Mus musculus: one gene and its partners. The protein of the gene in region 2 interacts with the protein of the main gene of each other region in a pairwise test. Links are inferred from orthologs where the notes say so. Each region holds a gene or a part of one and is shown on either strand. Other genes may lie near its edges.

The links. The genes of interacting proteins can lie anywhere in the genome.
Region 1: the proteins of Card9 (region 2) and Usp15 interact in binary tests that used the Homo sapiens proteins (3 or more experiments, as listed by UniProt). The two-hybrid records come from large-scale screens. The link is inferred for Mus musculus from reciprocal best matches to the Homo sapiens genes CARD9 and USP15.
Region 3: the proteins of Card9 (region 2) and Dusp13 interact in binary tests that used the Homo sapiens proteins (3 or more experiments, as listed by UniProt). The two-hybrid records come from large-scale screens. The link is inferred for Mus musculus from reciprocal best matches to the Homo sapiens genes CARD9 and DUSP13B.
Region 4: the proteins of Card9 (region 2) and Cwf19l2 interact in binary tests that used the Homo sapiens proteins (3 or more experiments, as listed by UniProt). The two-hybrid records come from large-scale screens. The link is inferred for Mus musculus from reciprocal best matches to the Homo sapiens genes CARD9 and CWF19L2.

Annotation. Positions count from the first base shown.
Region 1 is NC_000076.6:123,194,220-123,198,519, forward strand, and holds the start of Usp15 (ubiquitin carboxyl-terminal hydrolase 15), read right to left. Parts: upstream 2,801-4,300; 5' UTR 2,697-2,800; coding exon 2,608-2,696; exon of another isoform or gene 1-2,607. UniProt on the Homo sapiens protein: Hydrolase that removes conjugated ubiquitin from target proteins and regulates various pathways such as the TGF-beta receptor signaling, NF-kappa-B and RNF41/NRDP1-PRKN pathways.
Region 2 is NC_000068.7:26,358,110-26,362,125, reverse strand, and holds the start of Card9 (caspase recruitment domain-containing protein 9), read left to right. Parts: upstream 1-1,216; 5' UTR 1,217-1,339; intron 1,340-2,566; 5' UTR 2,567-2,578; coding exon 2,579-2,762; intron 2,763-3,174; coding exon 3,175-3,312; intron 3,313-4,016. UniProt on the Homo sapiens protein: Adapter protein that plays a key role in innate immune response against fungi by forming signaling complexes downstream of C-type lectin receptors.
Region 3 is NC_000080.6:21,738,699-21,742,674, forward strand, and holds the start of Dusp13 (dual specificity protein phosphatase 13), read right to left. Parts: upstream 2,801-3,976; 5' UTR 2,685-2,800; coding exon 2,332-2,684; intron 1,745-2,331; exon of another isoform or gene 1,580-1,744; coding exon 1,406-1,579; intron 1-1,405. UniProt on the Homo sapiens protein: Dual specificity phosphatase that dephosphorylates MAPK8/JNK and MAPK14/p38, but not MAPK1/ERK2, in vitro. Exhibits intrinsic phosphatase activity towards both phospho-seryl/threonyl and -tyrosyl residues, with similar specific activities in vitro.
Region 4 is NC_000075.6:3,402,655-3,406,884, reverse strand, and holds the start of Cwf19l2 (CWF19-like protein 2), read right to left. Parts: upstream 2,801-4,230; 5' UTR 2,788-2,800; coding exon 2,695-2,787; intron 1-2,694.

The sequences.
Region 1 (4,300 bases), on a different chromosome or scaffold from region 2:
AAATTTTCTAAATTCTAATTTAACTTTGCTTATGGTTTCCTCACTGTCTTGTCAGAACGGAAACAGACAAACAACTAGCATTGTGAGACTACCGATTTATTCCTTGTCAATGAGTGTCACCTTGCTAGCTCACCTGTCATAGGGAGAACTCTTGTACCACTGTTTACCTACTTCTTACTGCACGTCCAGTGCCAGTCGTACAGAATGCTCTCTTTATCTCAGCACAACTTGTGTACTCAAATCACCACCCATAAACAAATAAACAGAGATGGGTATTCATGAAGACCCAAATCAAATACAAATATCTGCCTAGGTAGTTGAGTTAGTTTGCAAAGTGCTCAGGAGCTAATGTGGTGAAATTTAACGCACCTCACTATAATTTCAAAACTCTGTACGAAGATTTCCAGATTATGGTAAGCCTATCTCTTTTTTTCTTAGTAGCAGAATCAGCATGAAGAACTGTATTAAAAGGCAGCATCATTAGGAATGTTGAGAACCACTGATTTACACAAAATAGAAAATTAACAAGGAGGTAAAACTTGCATATTTAGCTGCTGCCTAAAAACTGGACTTAAGTTCTTTCTTGAAATTAAGGCATTGTAACAACCCAAGTATAGACTTAACTTGTACATTTTGACGTGGTTTACGGTAACTGTCAAGAAAAATATACTCGCTTAAAAATAACCAACTTTAAAAGTAGTTTAATATCCACAATACAGGTATTTCTTAAATCATATATTACCATGAACACCAATTATACGTGATATTACTCAACAGAAAAACATTAGTGAGAAAACTATCCACATTCTAAAAAATATTTCTATTTTATCGGTAGTCATATTTATATTTGTATGATACAATAAATGAGTGAATTGGTTTTTAAAAAATGTTCTTCAATATACCAGAGAGAAGAAGCTTGAATTTATCTGTTAAGATCGCACAGGCCAAGGGGAGCATAGGTGTTCTAGGGAATGCCCGATTTCTTCTCAGCAATAAACTCCGTAAGAAAAACAAAAGCAGACTATAAGCAATAATGACTTAAGCCTCTGCAAGGCTGTAATGCAACAAGTGTGTTTTCCATCATCAAGGTTCTTAATTACACAAAGTGTTTGCCGTCTTACAAACTAAGGATCCAAGAACTTCAATTCAGGTCCCCCAGCTGTCGCCTATTAGCTAACTCGAAAATGATTCCAACCCCACAGCACTTGTCTGGAATTAATGGCAGAAATAAAAAAGATCACTAAAACTTAGTATTTCATGAATACCAGATAGTTCAGAATATTTAGCTGAATTAATATAGAGCAAACACAATAACATCGTTATTGCTCTTTGAACAGATGGAGATGCGGAGGCTCAATGGCTTGGATGAATTTGCTTCCAAGTCACACTGCAAAGTATGAGGTGGACCTGTGAATAAATCAGGTCTAAGTCTCTTTCCACCGCGCCACACTGGAGTGCCTAACAAGCACTTGAGAACTGTGAATAAATCAGGTCTTAAGTCTCTTTCCACTAGCCACACTGGAGTACCTAACAGGCACTTGAGACGCTATAAACCACTAGTACGGAGACAGAAGGAAGGAAAAGTAACTTAGGAAGAAAGAAAGAAAGAAAGAAAGAACGAAAGAACACACAGGCACACTGCCCTTCCCCTAAAACAGAACTTTCCCTTTATTTAAATAATTCTGTAAGTTAACTGCTTTGGCTGACGAGTGTTAAATTTTGTACATGCTTCCTCTAGTTATTTAGGTACAGTACCCTCTTATTTTGGCATTTTACAAGTTTGAATATGAGCAAGCCTTTAAGCTTCAAGTGGACTTATCTACTTTCTGCAGGCCTACGTTATCCTTCAAACCGGAGGGAAGGGCTGCACTTCCAAACAGAAGCGCTGCCGGCTCCTATCGAGCCAGGAGCAAAGCACAGGACCACGTGGTGCCTCTCTCTCTCTCTCTCTCTCTCTCTCTCTCTCTCTCTCTCTCTCTCTCTCTCTCAAGAAAAAAAAATTAAAAAAACAAGGTCCCTACACCGCTCCCTCCTTTTTGACAAGGAAGTGGAAATTAGGGGTTTCCTTTTCAGCGGAGCCCTGACACACACCACCTGTGTGGTCCCCGCCGCAAACATCCTGAAGCCCGGCTCCCGGAAGACTACAAGGATCGGAATAATGGGGAACTTGGGTGCGGACGACGCCGGGGAAGGAGTGACCAGAGAAGCGCGGCGGGCGAGCGAGGAGGAGCGGCGCGACCGGGATCTGTCAAAAAAAAAAAAAAAAAAAAAAAAAAAAAAAAAAAAACCAGCGGCAGGCAGGCTCACGCCGAGCCACTGCACCCGGGCTCCGCCAAGGCCCCAAGTGGGAGCGGCACTGCCGGAGGGAGGAGGACCCGGAGCCCCGCGAGCCCCGGCCGCCGCTTCCGCGCAGCCCCGGGCGCGCACCGCCCACCGCGAGCCCCGGCCCTCTGCGCCGGTCCAACCTTTGCCCCCAAAATCTGCTGCCTGAGCGGCCGCCGCCGGACCTGTCCGCACCTGTCACCAGCCGGCGACACCAGCCCACCGCTCCCGCCCAGCTCTCCGCCAGCCTCGGGCCCCCGCGGGCCCCGCGACCCCGTTCCCTACCAGGTGTCCCCTTTCCGGAGCGAGGTTTTGAGCAGCGTCGCGATGTCAGAACGCTGGGTGTCCAGGTCCGCCGCTCCGCCTTCCGCCATCTTCTTCCACTAGCCGTAGCGGAGGCGGCGGCGACGGCGGCGGCACGCCCCGGAGCATTGTGGGAATGGCGTCCCCGGCCCCGCCCCGCCGGCAGGTCTGTACCAAATGGGGCGCGAGGGCGGGGGTCTGGGGGCGTGGCTCGGCGGGGAGCGCGGCGGGTGCGCGCCTGCGCCCTGCTGCCCCCTCGGGTCCCCGCACGCCCCGCAGCACGGCGTGGTCGCCGCCGCCGCCCCAGACCTCTGAGTTTGCACGGTTCTCACCGGGTGCCGCGCTTTCTCTCCCTGCCTTTGCCCTGCCCTGCTCGGACTCTCCTTGCCATGCTGGCCCTTTTCTTGCCGCAGCCGCCTCCAAACCCATGTTTTTGCGGGTTCACTCCTACTGGAGGGCGGGGCCGGCTGGGACATGGCAGAAAGCGCGCAGTTCCGTGACTTGGGGCTTTTCCTTTCCAGCCGCAGAGCCCAAGCCCACTGAATATTGGCACAAAGAGGGCTCTGAAACCAAAGGTTTGGGCGCAGTGCCCTTCCTAGGTTCTTCCCAGCTCTCCCATGCTTGCTGTCTGTAGGGACTTCTACCTTTCATAAGCTCTTTGTGACGCCTCCTAGCGCGCGTGGACACACACACACACACACACACACACACACACACACACACACACGTTAGCTGCAGTGCAAAACATGTCCCAGTTTCTAGGTGAACAAGCAGTTAAAGATGTATTGAATAAGGCCAGGTACTGAAGGGGGTTAGAAACGTGGGAGAAACCTCATGGGCGTCAAATTAGCATTCCCCTAGATTAAATTTCATGGTTGTATATGCCTAAAGTTAGACTCGATAATACAAGCTGCATTTGAAGGCAACAATTACAAACGGGGAAATTGAGCCTCTTAAAAATCAAATGCCAAGGTCACACGGCAACTGGAAGTGCAAGGTTATCGCACAGATTTCAAATCCCCAGTACTCAGTACCTCCATGAAAGGCTGAATTAAGATACAAACTCCGTAAAAGCTGCAACTAAGTTCTCTTTATAATTTGGCGTGTGAGTGTGCGTGTGTGTGCGTGTGTGTGCGTGTGTGTGTGTGTGTGTGTGTGTGTGTGTGTGTGTGTGCACTGCGGTTTAATGGTCTAGTACCATTCTACACCATTTGAGGCAAACGTTTCAAAATTAACTAAGGCAAAACTGCTGTTTCTAAGAATGAAGACGGCTACCTCAGTAGAACAGTAGGTGACAAGTTAAAGGATGGGCAATGGTCTCTCCATTTTTTAAGCCTCCTAGTTTTGGTGGGAAACTCAGTAAGGAAGGGGGTGCCTGCATTAGTGAGGACTGCTGGCCCATCCAAGAGAAAGCAGTGTTTCCCTGGTTAGGGTTTGTCAGCTTGACAGAAACTAAAGTCACTTGGAAAGAGGGGAACCTTAATTATGGGATTGCCTCCCTTAGAGTAGCCTGTGATGAGTCAGTGGAGCATTTTCTTGTTTAACGATCGGTGTGGTAAACCCACTGTGGGCAGGTGGTCCTGAGTTGTGTAAGAAAACAAGCTGAGCAAGCCATAAAAAGCAGTGTCCGTCCACGTACTCTGCTCTGGGTTCCTGTTGAGCTCTGGCTGTGACC
Region 2 (4,016 bases):
AGCAGTCAGTGCTCTTAACTGCCGGTTCATCTCTCCTTTTTCTTAGTCACTATTTCCATGACACCAGACTATACATCCTGGGCCCTTGGCTCTCCAGGATTTAGTTATTTTTTGTTTGTTTGTTTTGTTTTTGTTTTTCGAGACAAGGTTTCTCTGTGTAGCCCTGGCTGTCCTGGAACTCCCTCTGTAGACCAGGCTGGCCAGGATTTAGTTTTTACATGTGTTCATCCTCTGTGGGAAGCTTGCAGCTCATAGTAAAATGGTATGACCAGCCTAGTCCTAGTGATTGTACCAGCTGTCACTCCAGCTGATGGCCGTCACACATCCAGGGACGCGTGTTTGTCATGGCTCCTTCTAACCTCTGCACTGGGTTTCTCCATTCTGGAGAACTTGGGGTTTCTTCAGCTATCTGTGCTATTGACTTCCACTTCAGTTTTATGAGCAAAAGTTTCATGTTATTAACACTTTTAAGAAGCCACCACTGTGGAGGCCTTGTGACCTCCTTCCTGGAGTGACTGCAAAGCCATGGATGGACTCCCTTGCCGTCCTGGAAACCCAGCAAGCCACAATCCCTAGCAGTGTGGCCCCCCAAGGCCAAAGAGGACTCCTGACTGCTGCTTTTGGAAGTATTTTCAAGGCCACTGTCCCCATAGGAGCAAGCAGAGGGCCAGTAAGCTACAGAAGGGGCCAGCTGGGGCTCTGCATAAGTGTCCCACCCTTCCTTCCCATACAGCACTGGAAGCTTTTGCCTCAACTCATCTTGTAGGCTAGACAGCAGCGCCTGTCTAACAGCTACACTGGCTGGGCAGGGCTAGCAGGTCCCCACGCCCACCTCAGGCTGACTCTTGAAGGGCCACCCTGAAGGAGAGGCTGTGGCACGCAATCCATAGAGGACTATAGCTGCCTACAGCTTGTAGATTTTGACCAAGCTTTGTCCCACTGCACCTACCCTGCACCACTGTCCTTAGACGGCAGATGAGGATATGAGGCAGGGCCATGTTAGAAAAGCAACTTTCAGAAGCCTGGATCCAGGAGGACCTTGGACTGCCCATCCAGTTCAGATGAGCAGGCAGGGAGGGCTCCTCTGCTCCCAGAGTACTTCTACTTCCCTCTGTTCTGTTCCTGGATGGGCCAATCAGAAGGTAGACTGTCCCCTGCGGGAGGACTGGCTGGCTTGTGGCGTCAACCAGAACACATCAATCAGGAAGTGCACAGCCTCCTTCATGGCTCCACCCTTCTCCAGTTAGGGAACCCCTCCACACTCCCAGAGACCCAGGCTCCTGGTATGTCCATAACCCAGACAGCATCTGCTGGCAGGTAGCTCTCACAAGACCCTGAGGTAAGTTCAGTACCCTTCCAGGAAGGTGGGTGGAAGCCTGTGGTGACTGCTGGGGATCCTGGAGCGCGTAAGTACCTACAGGCAGGTGGCATCCTCCATCCTCACGCCTTCATTTGATTAATCCTTGTACACTGCAGCATAGTCCTCCAGTGCTGGACCATGTGGCTGTGGGGCTGCAATGGCAGGCCATAGGCCCAAGGTTTAGAGAAATGTCTGTCCACTGGGTCAACCAGAAAGCAGCAGGAAGCCAAGAGATGCCTCTGAAGAAGAGGCCTGCCATGGCCGTGTCTCTAACTGGAGGTGCAGCTCCGCTGGGGTTAGGGACTGAGCCAGGGGCGCTCTATGGCCACCTTAACTCAGCCCTAAAATCATTGAAGCCATTCACTGAGGCTACACTTGTCCACATGAGTAACCCCCTACATACAACTGGCCTGGTTGATTCCCATCATGTGGCCAAAGGCCAGGGCTCATCTAGCGGCAGAAAAGCAAACTGGAGGGAAGCCACAGCAGATGTCTGTAGACTGTGGATGACATTGCCTGCCCTTCCAGTATACTCCAGCCTAGCAGGAAGGCAGACATGCTCCTGCGGCCAACCCTCCCAGCCCTCCCGGAATAGCACCGTGCCACAGGCTGTTGCATCACCAGCTGGCTACAACGGAAGGCCTGAAGGGCACGGGGCTGTCAGGGAAGGAGGAAGTCAGACATAGGCCTGGCCCCCTGCACAGTGAGAAAGCCTCCAGCCAACCTGACCCTCTTAGTCCCAATCTGGAGACTGGCCAGCAAGGGTCCATGCCACCCAAGAAGGTACTATGTAGGATGGCCACTAGAGGCAAAAGCTCCTACCTCCAGGGCATGCCAGAGCACTTTTGGGTAGGGGCAGAAGCTAGAGCAGGGCTGTTGTACAAAGAGTATTCTCTTAGACCCCAACCGGTCACTTCCCTACATATCCATATGAGAAAGCCTGAGATGACAGGGGCCGGGCAGCTGCTTGGGGGTGCTCAGTTTGACAGGTGGTCTGAGGTGGCTTGTCTATGGACCTCTGCTTCCCCTCAGAAACTGTCCATGAGGCTGAGGAGATAGGGCTGAGCCCTGAAATTTCCCTAGAACGGATCCCTTCTGACCCTGCCCAAAGCCCTGCCCTGACACTCAGGCCTGGGTCCTATCCTAGGCTGACAGGGAACAGAAGGTGGGCACTTCCTCAGCTGCTCTCCCCAATTATAACCGCAGCCTACAGAGGACATGTCAGACTATGAGAATGACGACGAGTGCTGGAGCACCCTGGAGAGCTTCCGGGTGAAGCTCATCTCTGTCATTGACCCCTCCCGGATCACACCCTATCTACGCCAGTGCAAAGTCCTGAACCCCGATGATGAGGAGCAGGTGCTCAGTGACCCCAACCTGGTCATCCGCAAGCGGAAAGTGGGTGAGGACTGCTCCCACACCAGCAGGCTCTAGCCCTGCATGACCCCCATAAGACACCCAGCCAGAGGCCACTCCATGCTCTCTTCACTGCCCTGGCCTTGTCCCCACTCAGCTCCATCCCCGTGTAGGATATATGAGTGAGAGACTCCTCCCCTCTTGTCCTGTCTACCTGCTGTTGCCCAGTGGAGGAAGGGGAGTCCCCACCACTGTTCAGGCCCTGCCTGAGACAGCCACCAGAGGGAAGGCAGCACCCTGTCCCACCTAGACTTGAGACCTGCAGGGCGCCTTATTCAATGGCCCAGAAGGAAGGGGGTTGCTAGAGCTTGGGATGTCTACCCAGAGTAATCATCCTACCCATCTCCAAGAGCCTCCACCCGCCAGCCCTTGGCCTTGACTCTGTCTTCCACCTGAAGGTGTGCTCCTGGACATCCTGCAGCGGACAGGCCACAAGGGCTACGTGGCTTTCCTCGAGAGCCTGGAGCTCTACTACCCTCAGTTATACCGGAAAGTCACTGGCAAGGAGCCAGCACGCGTCTTCTCCATGATCATTGGTGAGAGGCACGGGTGTGGGTTGTTGCTGTGGGTGGACTCGGGTCCTGGCTTCTATGATGGCGTTGGAGTGACTAAGTGTGATAACAAGCCTTACGATGTAGATCAGGGTAGTGGTCCCTGATGATACTCACAGGCTCTAGGGGGCAGGGTCTTCCTGAATTGCTGAGCTCTTACTGGTCTCTAGAAGGGGAGCCCTTCTCTGCCTTTCCTACTCACAGCCTGGAAATTTCACTGAGAAGTAGTGACCCCTCTGAAGTGCCATTTCTGCAGGGCCCAGTTGTCAGCCAAGAGCAGAATCCTACAGTTCCCAGAGGGGACAGAGGTGTCCTCTCCTGATGGAAGAGCCACAACCCCATCAATTCTCATTCATCTCATAAAGAGCACTGTGAGATAAACAGGGCAGGGGCGATGGCACACACCTTTAGCCCTGGTAGTCTGGAGGCAGAGGCCAACAGATCTCTTGAGTGAGAGGCCAGACTGGACTACATAGCAAGACGTTGTCTCAAAAACCAGGGGCTAGGGGGAGAAGAGGGTCAACTGGAGTCTTCACCCAGGGCATGTGAGTGGCCCTGGGTGATGAGTCAGAATCTCAGTTCACCTGTGAGGGACAGCAAGGCCAACTGGGCCTACTGAGCACACTCAGTCTTGAGAGACCCATCCTACCAGTTTTCTCTGTGGGAGGCCAGGAATGCTCCCTCTGTCC
Region 3 (3,976 bases), on a different chromosome or scaffold from region 2:
GCGAGAGCAGTCAGTGCTCTTAACTGCTGAGCCATTGCCTTAACCACAAGGTAAATTTTAAATATTTTTTGCTCTAACTTTAGAAGGCTGGCAAAAGGCATATCTGAAGTATTTAAGGCAAAACTAGAAAGAAAAATAAATGCTGCTTTTGAATTGGGTGCAAATGGTGGTCATATCAAATGAAATAGCACAGACCCAGAACATAGCATGCATTTGCTAATCTGAGTAGCTCCTAGGTTTTATATAGCTATATAGCTACATAAAATCACATATGTACTACATACATATGACACTAAAGCTGAAGCAAGATTATCTGGTGGAAGGAACCAAACTAGTGAGTGAGAAAGAGAAAAAAGGAGGGCATGTGGGGGGGTGGGGGTGGGCACAGCAGTACACGACTTGAATTCTAGCTCTGCAGGCAGAGGAAGGTGGGTCTCTGTAAGGTCAAGGCTAACCTAGTCTTCCTAGACAATTACAAGTTAGCTGCAGTGAGACCCAGTCTCAAATTTAAAAGAAATTGGGGGGGGGGGCGCTGGAGAGATGGCTCAGCATTTAAGAGCACTGACTGCTCTTCCAAAGGTCCTGAGTTCAAAGCCCAGCAACCACATGGTGGCTCACAACCATCTGTAATGAGATCTGATGCCCTCTTCTGAGGTGTCTGAAGACAGCTACAGTGTACTTACATATAATAAACAAATAAATCTTAAAAAAAAAAGAAAGAAAGAAAATGGGGGAGAGAATAGGGAGGTGAATAAGATCAAATACACAGTAAAGCTTGAAAAATCTGCTAAACCCATCCCAATATACAATGAATATACACCAATAGAAATGAGAGATGCATGGTAGCATACACTTAGAAGGCAGAAGCAGGAGGATCTTTATGAGTTTGAGGCCAGCCTATTCTACCTAGTGAGTTCCAGGACATCCAGTGGGACTGAGTCAATGAGGACGATGATGGTTTCAGGTAGGCTAGGTTCACAGCTCAATTTGCAGAGCGCCTGCCTAGTACGTGCAAAGCCCTGGGTGTGATCACCAGCATAAAACAGGCATGGTGGCAATGCACACTTGTAAAACCAGCTCTTTGGAGGTGAAGGCTGGAGGATCAGAAACTCAAGGTATCCTCAGCTACATAGGGAATTCGAGCCAACCAGGGGTACAAAAGAAAAGAAGAGAAGAGAGAGAGCTTTGTCTCTTGAAGTGTGGTTTATCCACTAAAACAGGTCACTTCTAGGATACAAGGAATTCTCTATTCCATGGCCTGAAAGATGAAACTGTATGTTTCCAAACAAACATGAGAAAGGCAAATGCAGGCAGCGGTGAGAAGCACTGTGGGCCATCTGGAGGAGGCTTATCCTGGTACTCCCACCCATCAGCCACCCTAAACCCCTACATGGGTCTTACTTACGCATCTCCCAAGAAAAGGTTGGGCCAGACCTCATTGATGTGGGTCAGTGTGGCAGTCCGACGGACCCACAGCAATCGCTGCAGAGAGGCCAGTGTGGGTGGCTGGTAGGGGGACACCTGGACTGCCCCATGAATCTTTGGCCTCCGAAGTTCCTGCTTCTGTAGCGAGTCCATTCTGGGAACAGAGTAAACAGGACAGTAGCTGGAACAGGCTCCCCAAGCGTGGGTCCAGTGGACAGGGAGACCTGTGTTGCAGTACCAGGAGCCAGTGGGATGCTGTGGGGGCCAGCCTCAGCTATGCTGAATGAGGCTATTACCCGGCTCAGCTGGCCTGGAACCTAGAACCTTTTCCCTGGGAACAAGGAGAACTAGAACTCTCTTGTCAATTCCATGGCGCTAAGCGTACCTTTCCTGAGGCAACGGATGTTAGAAATGTTGGTCTTAGGGACCGTGGGGAATCTCTGTAGGGCTAATCTGTGCAGACCGTACCCCTTTAGTCACTGGAAACCCCAGCTGGCGGAGGCTCTTGGAGAGGACCTAGGATGTCCCTCCAAAGCCAGGCAGCTCATCTGTAGCTCCCACCCTGGCTGTTTCTAAGGCTGATGCTAGAGGAGGTCAAAGCACTGTCCAGGGTTACAGTCCAGCCACAAGTGGGCATTAGTCAGCTTGTTCACACCAAGTGAGCTGGTGTCGCTCATAAGCAGGCTGTATCCCTTGTGCTGTGTTCCATGTTTCACACTGACACCAATGACAAATGACAAATGGCTAAAGACTACCCTGAGCTTGATATCCAGTGTGTGCCTTCAGTTCATTCCCCAAGCCTTCCAGTTGCCAGAGGGTGGTCACCAACTGATGTGTCTCCTCTAGGGAGCTGTCAGGGATGAGCTACACATCCACTTACAGGCCCCGGGCTTTTTTCCTCCTTACCCTTGTGGTTCAGGCCAGTACACCTGTACAGGCCTCACCCGGAAGGAGTGGGTTATGTCTGGAGTCATCTGGCTTAGTCCATCTGGGCCCTTGCAGAGCTGAGGTGTCAGAGGCACCAGAACCTGAGCCTGGTACCTTAGAGGGAAGGGGAACCTACCTTGGTCAACTACCCCTGGTCCCCTCAAAGAGTAACTCGAGTAGGTACAGACTGGGTAGAATGCCTTTTCCCTCTGGCAGGCACTGCCAAAACCAGAAAAAGAGATGGGCACCCAGGAGGCCACTGGCTTGGCCACACTCACCCAGCCAGTGGATGATGAGCTGGGTGGAAGAGAGGGCCGGCCTTTCTCCCTCATCCCCCTCTGTGACCTCTCTGGCAGGCTGAGTGGCCTGCCACCTACCTAGGGCATGGTCTGGGGCCAGGAATGGGGGACTAGGTGCAGGGGCAGGCTGAGTGGAACAGTCCTAAAGCAGGTTCCATCCAGAACACAAATGCTGTTATGCGCCTAGAATTCCAGGTCCATGCATGTGAGCCAATGGGGATGTGGGGCAAGATGAAGACAGACCTGAGCTGCGGGGACAGGAGCAGTGGCCTAACATCTCTCCCTGGTGTCTCTGCTATTGAAAACACTTGTCCTGAAGATGGGGACCACCTGAAGAGATGCCTAGGGAACAGACTCCCCTTAAAATTTGACAAGGATATATCCTGGGACCTAGGCAAGTTTTCATTCCTATCTGGGCCTTAGTTTCTTTTCTCTGCTCTCTGGTATTCTGCTGGCTGCAAGAGAAGGGAATGACGCTATATGAAGTAACACCAGGGAAAGGAATATTAGGGTGGAGGATCTCTGAATCCAGGGAAGTCCAATAGCCACTCTGGCCTGAGGCCACCAGCTAGACTCCTCCAGCTATGAGTGGAACTAGACAGGGATTTCGGGAAACCGTAGGCCCCTCACAGGCCTGCTCAATTTGGCATGGGGTAAGTCTGCCCTCTAGTGGCCAGTGGCTGCTAGGCAGCCCAACTGTGTCCCAGGAGCTCGGTGGTGGGGATTAGGGGATGTCCTTAACTTCCCTGGTCTAACTCAGACCTGTAGGAAAGATTTTTCTTAGACTTAGGGTTTCCTGGTCAGGTCCTACTTAGGGCTATATGTAGCCCAGCTATCTGCTCTGGTCCACTGAGGGTTCCTTTCACCTATCAGAGCCAGGCCCAGCAGCTCACTCAGTGAGCCATTCCTTAAGCTTTAGGCACCCCCCCCAAAAGAAAGCCCAGGGATTCTGCTACCCCCTGGTGTAGGGAGGGCCCAGCTATGTCAGAAGGAGCCATGGCTGAATGTCTTGTAGGATCAGGCCCCTGTTCACATTCATGATAGTCCTCCCGTGGCTCTCTAGTGCTACCTGGCTTCTACTTCCCTGAAACTTCAGCAGAGAAGTTGCTTCTGTCAACAGTGGCTTTCTTGCCCACACTGCCTCTGTATACAGAGCTACACATACTTACCTTTTGTTGGCACTAGTAGCATCTCTAGCTTGCTCTCTGTTGTCTGTCTTTCAGTTTGTCCCAGGATAGCCTTCTAGAATACCACCCTGCATACCTCGGGCCTTGCTCAGCAGCCTGGGACGTGGCAGCTGTTTGCCACCTACCTCTTTAGCTGTA
Region 4 (4,230 bases), on a different chromosome or scaffold from region 2:
ATTTATAATAGCCAGAAGCTGGAAACAACCCAGATGTCCCTCAACGGAAGAATAGATACAGAAAATAAGGTACATTAACACAATGGAATACTGCCCAGCTATTAAAATGACAACTACGAACTTTGTAGGCAAATGGATGGAACTAGAAAATATAATCCTGAGTGAGGTAACCAGACCCAAAAGAACATACATGGTATGTACTCATTGGTAAGTGGATACTAACTGAAATACTCAGAATACCCATGATACAACCCACAGATCATATTAAGCTTAACAAGAAGGAAGGGCATAGCGTGTATGCATCAAACCCACTTAGAAGGAGGAACAAAATAATCACGGGAGGCAGAGGAAAGGAGGGTTCTGGGTGGGAAAGGGGCGGGGAAGGAAAGGAGGGGCCAGCGGAGGCAGTACCAGGTATTGGAAGAGACAGGAGATAGGAGAGAAGTCCATAGGCCCAGGAGAAGGAATAGAAATAAGTACCAGTGGGGGTGGGGAACTTGGGGAAGTACTAGAAAGTCCTCAACACCAGGAATTCGAGAGACTCCCAGGACCCAATGGGGATGACATTTGCCAAAATAGCCAACAGTAGGAAGATAGAACCTGAAGAGATCATCTCCAGTAGATAGACATGGCCCCCATGGGAGGGATGGGGCCAACCCCTACCCCATCTAAAAAAATTTAACTCATAATTGTCCCTATCTAAAGGAAATGCCAGGACAAAAATGGAGCAGAGGCTGAAGAAAAGGCCATCCAGAGACCTCCCCACTGTGGGATCCATTCCATCCACAGACACCAACACACTCCCCACCCCCCTTACTATTGCTGAAGCCAAGATGTGTTTGCAGACAGGAGCCTGGTATAGCTCTGAGGGGCTTTGCCAGCACCTGACTAAGAGAGATGCAGATACTCACAGCTAACCATTGAACTGAGCCTGGGGATCCTAATGGAAGAGTTAGGGGTAAAGGAGCTGAAGAGGATTGCAACCCCATAGAAAGAATAACAGTATCAATTTAACCAGAGTTCCCAGGAACTAAACTACCAACCAAAGAGTCCATGGCTCCCCCTACATATGTAGCAGAGGATTATTGCCTCATCTGGCATCAATGGGAGGGGAGGTGCTTGGTGCTGTGGAGGCTTGATACCCTAGAGAAAGTGGATGCTAGAGGACTGAGACAGGAGTGGGTGGTGGAAGGGGAAGTACCCTCTTAGAGGCAAAAGGGAGGAGGAAGGGTGGAAGGATTTGTGAAGAGGAGACTGGGAAGGGGAATAACATTTGAAAGATAAACAAAATGATTAATAAAAGGAAGTTATTAATAGCTTTCCTTTGGGACTACCAATCTTCACTAAATTTGGGTACAAATCACACACAGTATTCAGTACAAGACTAACATATATCCTCTTTTCTCTCTGTCTCAAATAGGATTTGGAATCACTTTAACCTTCATTGTCACTGTGGCTAGTTCTTTAGACTTTCCCAAAAGTTATAAATCTGACCTTTTTCCATGCCTTCAAAATAGACAGTGCCAATACAATTGACTCAGAAAAGTTATCCTCTTAAAAAGAAAGAACCATATGGCTAATTTCTAGTCAGCAGTCAACAATAGTAATACAATGCAAGAAGTTTCTTCTGCTTTCTCATCCATCTGTCAAAATTCCTAAGCTGACTTTGGTCCTTATCAAACTGTATGTAGATTTGTCTAAAATTCTTCACAGCTGACAAAGAGTTTCTTCCAAAAACTGTTTGAAATATCAAACAGACAGTCATTATGATTATTCATTATATCTATTTTGAAATCAGCCAATATTCATGATGCTTTATCTGACCAAGACTAACTGCCCACCCATCCCCTTAAAATGTGACTGAAGGAAGGCATTACTCATTCTTCCTATTTATTTTCTACTCTCTATATGCATTTAAACTTATTTAAAATTCTTTTATCATAAAACAAAAAACCCAAAACATAGTCACGGAACATTCCGTTGTTCAACTACAAATTCATCTTTTTCACTGTCACAATTAATCAGGAATAACTGTCAATAACTGTTCAATAATTTACTTCTTCCGTTTTTATAAACTCCATACATTTCAATGTTAATGAGAATTCTGTTTCCAAAACCTGGGGTCGGGGAGCACATATTCTGAGTCTCTTATGCTAAAACAGTGTTTCAATCAGTAAAGGCTGGCCTAAGCCTGGAGTTGAAAGGAAAACGTGGAGGAAACACCAACGTATTCAAATGTGTCCTACTTCCAATAAGCCGGGGCAATGACTCATGCTTCGAATTAACTGGTAAGAAGAGTCCTCGGATGTGACACTGGACACAGAAACTGAGCAATCCAGGCGGCTGAAATATCAAGAGTGCTTAAAAACTAAGGAAACTGGAAGGAAACCAATCAATCTTTTTGCGGAGAGAAATAGCAAATGGAGCCGGTCCGAGCGTTTAGAAGACAACTGCATTGGAAAAAGACCAAAATCAGACAAGGTGAGATACCGAAGTAACGAGAGAAGTGAGTGGACTATCTCCCAGGATTCTCAAGTCCTACAACTTTTAAATAACATTCCGAAACCGTAAGATTTATAAAACGAAAGTATTTCAAGAACTAAATCTCGGAAAGCGATTACCTAGCATGCAGAAGCCCTTAGTACAACCCCAGTTTTAAAAAGGAAGAAAGAAAATTCTCCAAAGCCGGGATACCTGGCGTAACACCTCGGCCCTGGCATTACGGGTCTGTTCTTTTCGCTCTTCGATACTGCTAGCACTTTCAAATCTTACACTAAACGCCTCCATAGTTGTTGCCGTCGAAAAGCAAGGACGCCGTCGGGAAACCTCGGTTTACGACTGTCGTAATTTAGAAACCGAATCTGCATTTCAAAATAGTAGGGAAGGGGCGTTACTATGCCAACAGAGCAGGCGCAGTTCCGAATGTTTCGCCTGTGAAAGGTTCAGCGGAAACTTGTAGCCTGCTGGAGAGTTGATCTTTCAGATGTACTAGGTTCGCTAAGCGCTGAGTTAATATAAACATGCGTTATTATGAGCCCTGCGATATATTAACTCATTTCTCAATAGGACTCTTAAAACACTCCAGTAAGCTAGAAGTTACTTACTTCCCCCTTCTTGCCTGACTTCCTGTGACTGTGCATCAACCTGAAGGGAACCTGATCAGAAAGTCAGAACGTGGGGGGAAAAGGGAAAAACAAAAATTGCTCTTAAGAATCAGTATAGGGGCTGGAGAGATGACTCAGTGGTTAAGAGCACTGACTGCTCTTCCAGATGTCCTGAGTTCAATTCCCAGGAACCACGTGGTGGCTCACAACCCTCTGTAATGGGATTGAACGCCCTCTTCTGGTGTGTCTGAAAACAGTGACAATGTACTCATATAAGTAAAATAAGTAATTAAAAAAAAAAGTTCAGTATTTTTCTTTGATGGGTGTCTTGAAATATATTTAAAACTGGGGTAGAGAGATGGGTCAGTGATTTAGGTGCTAACTGTTCTTGCAAAGGACCTAAGGCCACATCCAGGAACTCACAGGGATCATCAAAACCATCTCTAGCTCCATTTCCAGGAGATCTCCCTCTTCTGGCCTCCACAGGCATTGCAACTACATGATGACATAACACTCATTAAATAAATAAATAAATAAATAAATAAATAATTCTTAATTATTTGGAGGTCAAGACTTGGTGTTGCACAAGCCTGGGTGCAGGAAGAGTCCTCATCACCCAGAAGAAAGATGCCTTGGTTGTGTGGTTATCTCTCATAAAGAAAAAACAGTGACCTCTGTTGTATTTATTGCATCTTGCATAATTAAGTCTCTGTATCAAAAGACTAGCCCCATCTGTGCTTCATTTGATTCGCCCACTAGGATAGAAACAGGAAAGTTGAAATAAGCCATTTCTATCTCCTTTTGCCCATATCAACTCAGCAAATTTAAGATGACAAACTTGAATGGTTACAACCCCTTTATTTGATTCATTATGTTTGTGAGGCAGCACTCCAGTTTGTGCATCTGAAGCAAGGATAACCAGCCAATTCAGAGTTGATAGGAAGGGCTAATATACCTGCCCACGCATTACCAAAGGCACTCAAAAAGACTTGCCATGAAATATTGAAGGCTAAACGCACTGATGATTTTCGAAAACCTTGCTTCTCCGTAGGGAGAGCTTTGAAATTTCTTTTGTTGTTGTTGTTGTTGTTGTTGTTGTTGTTGTTGTTGAGAAGCAATACTCATG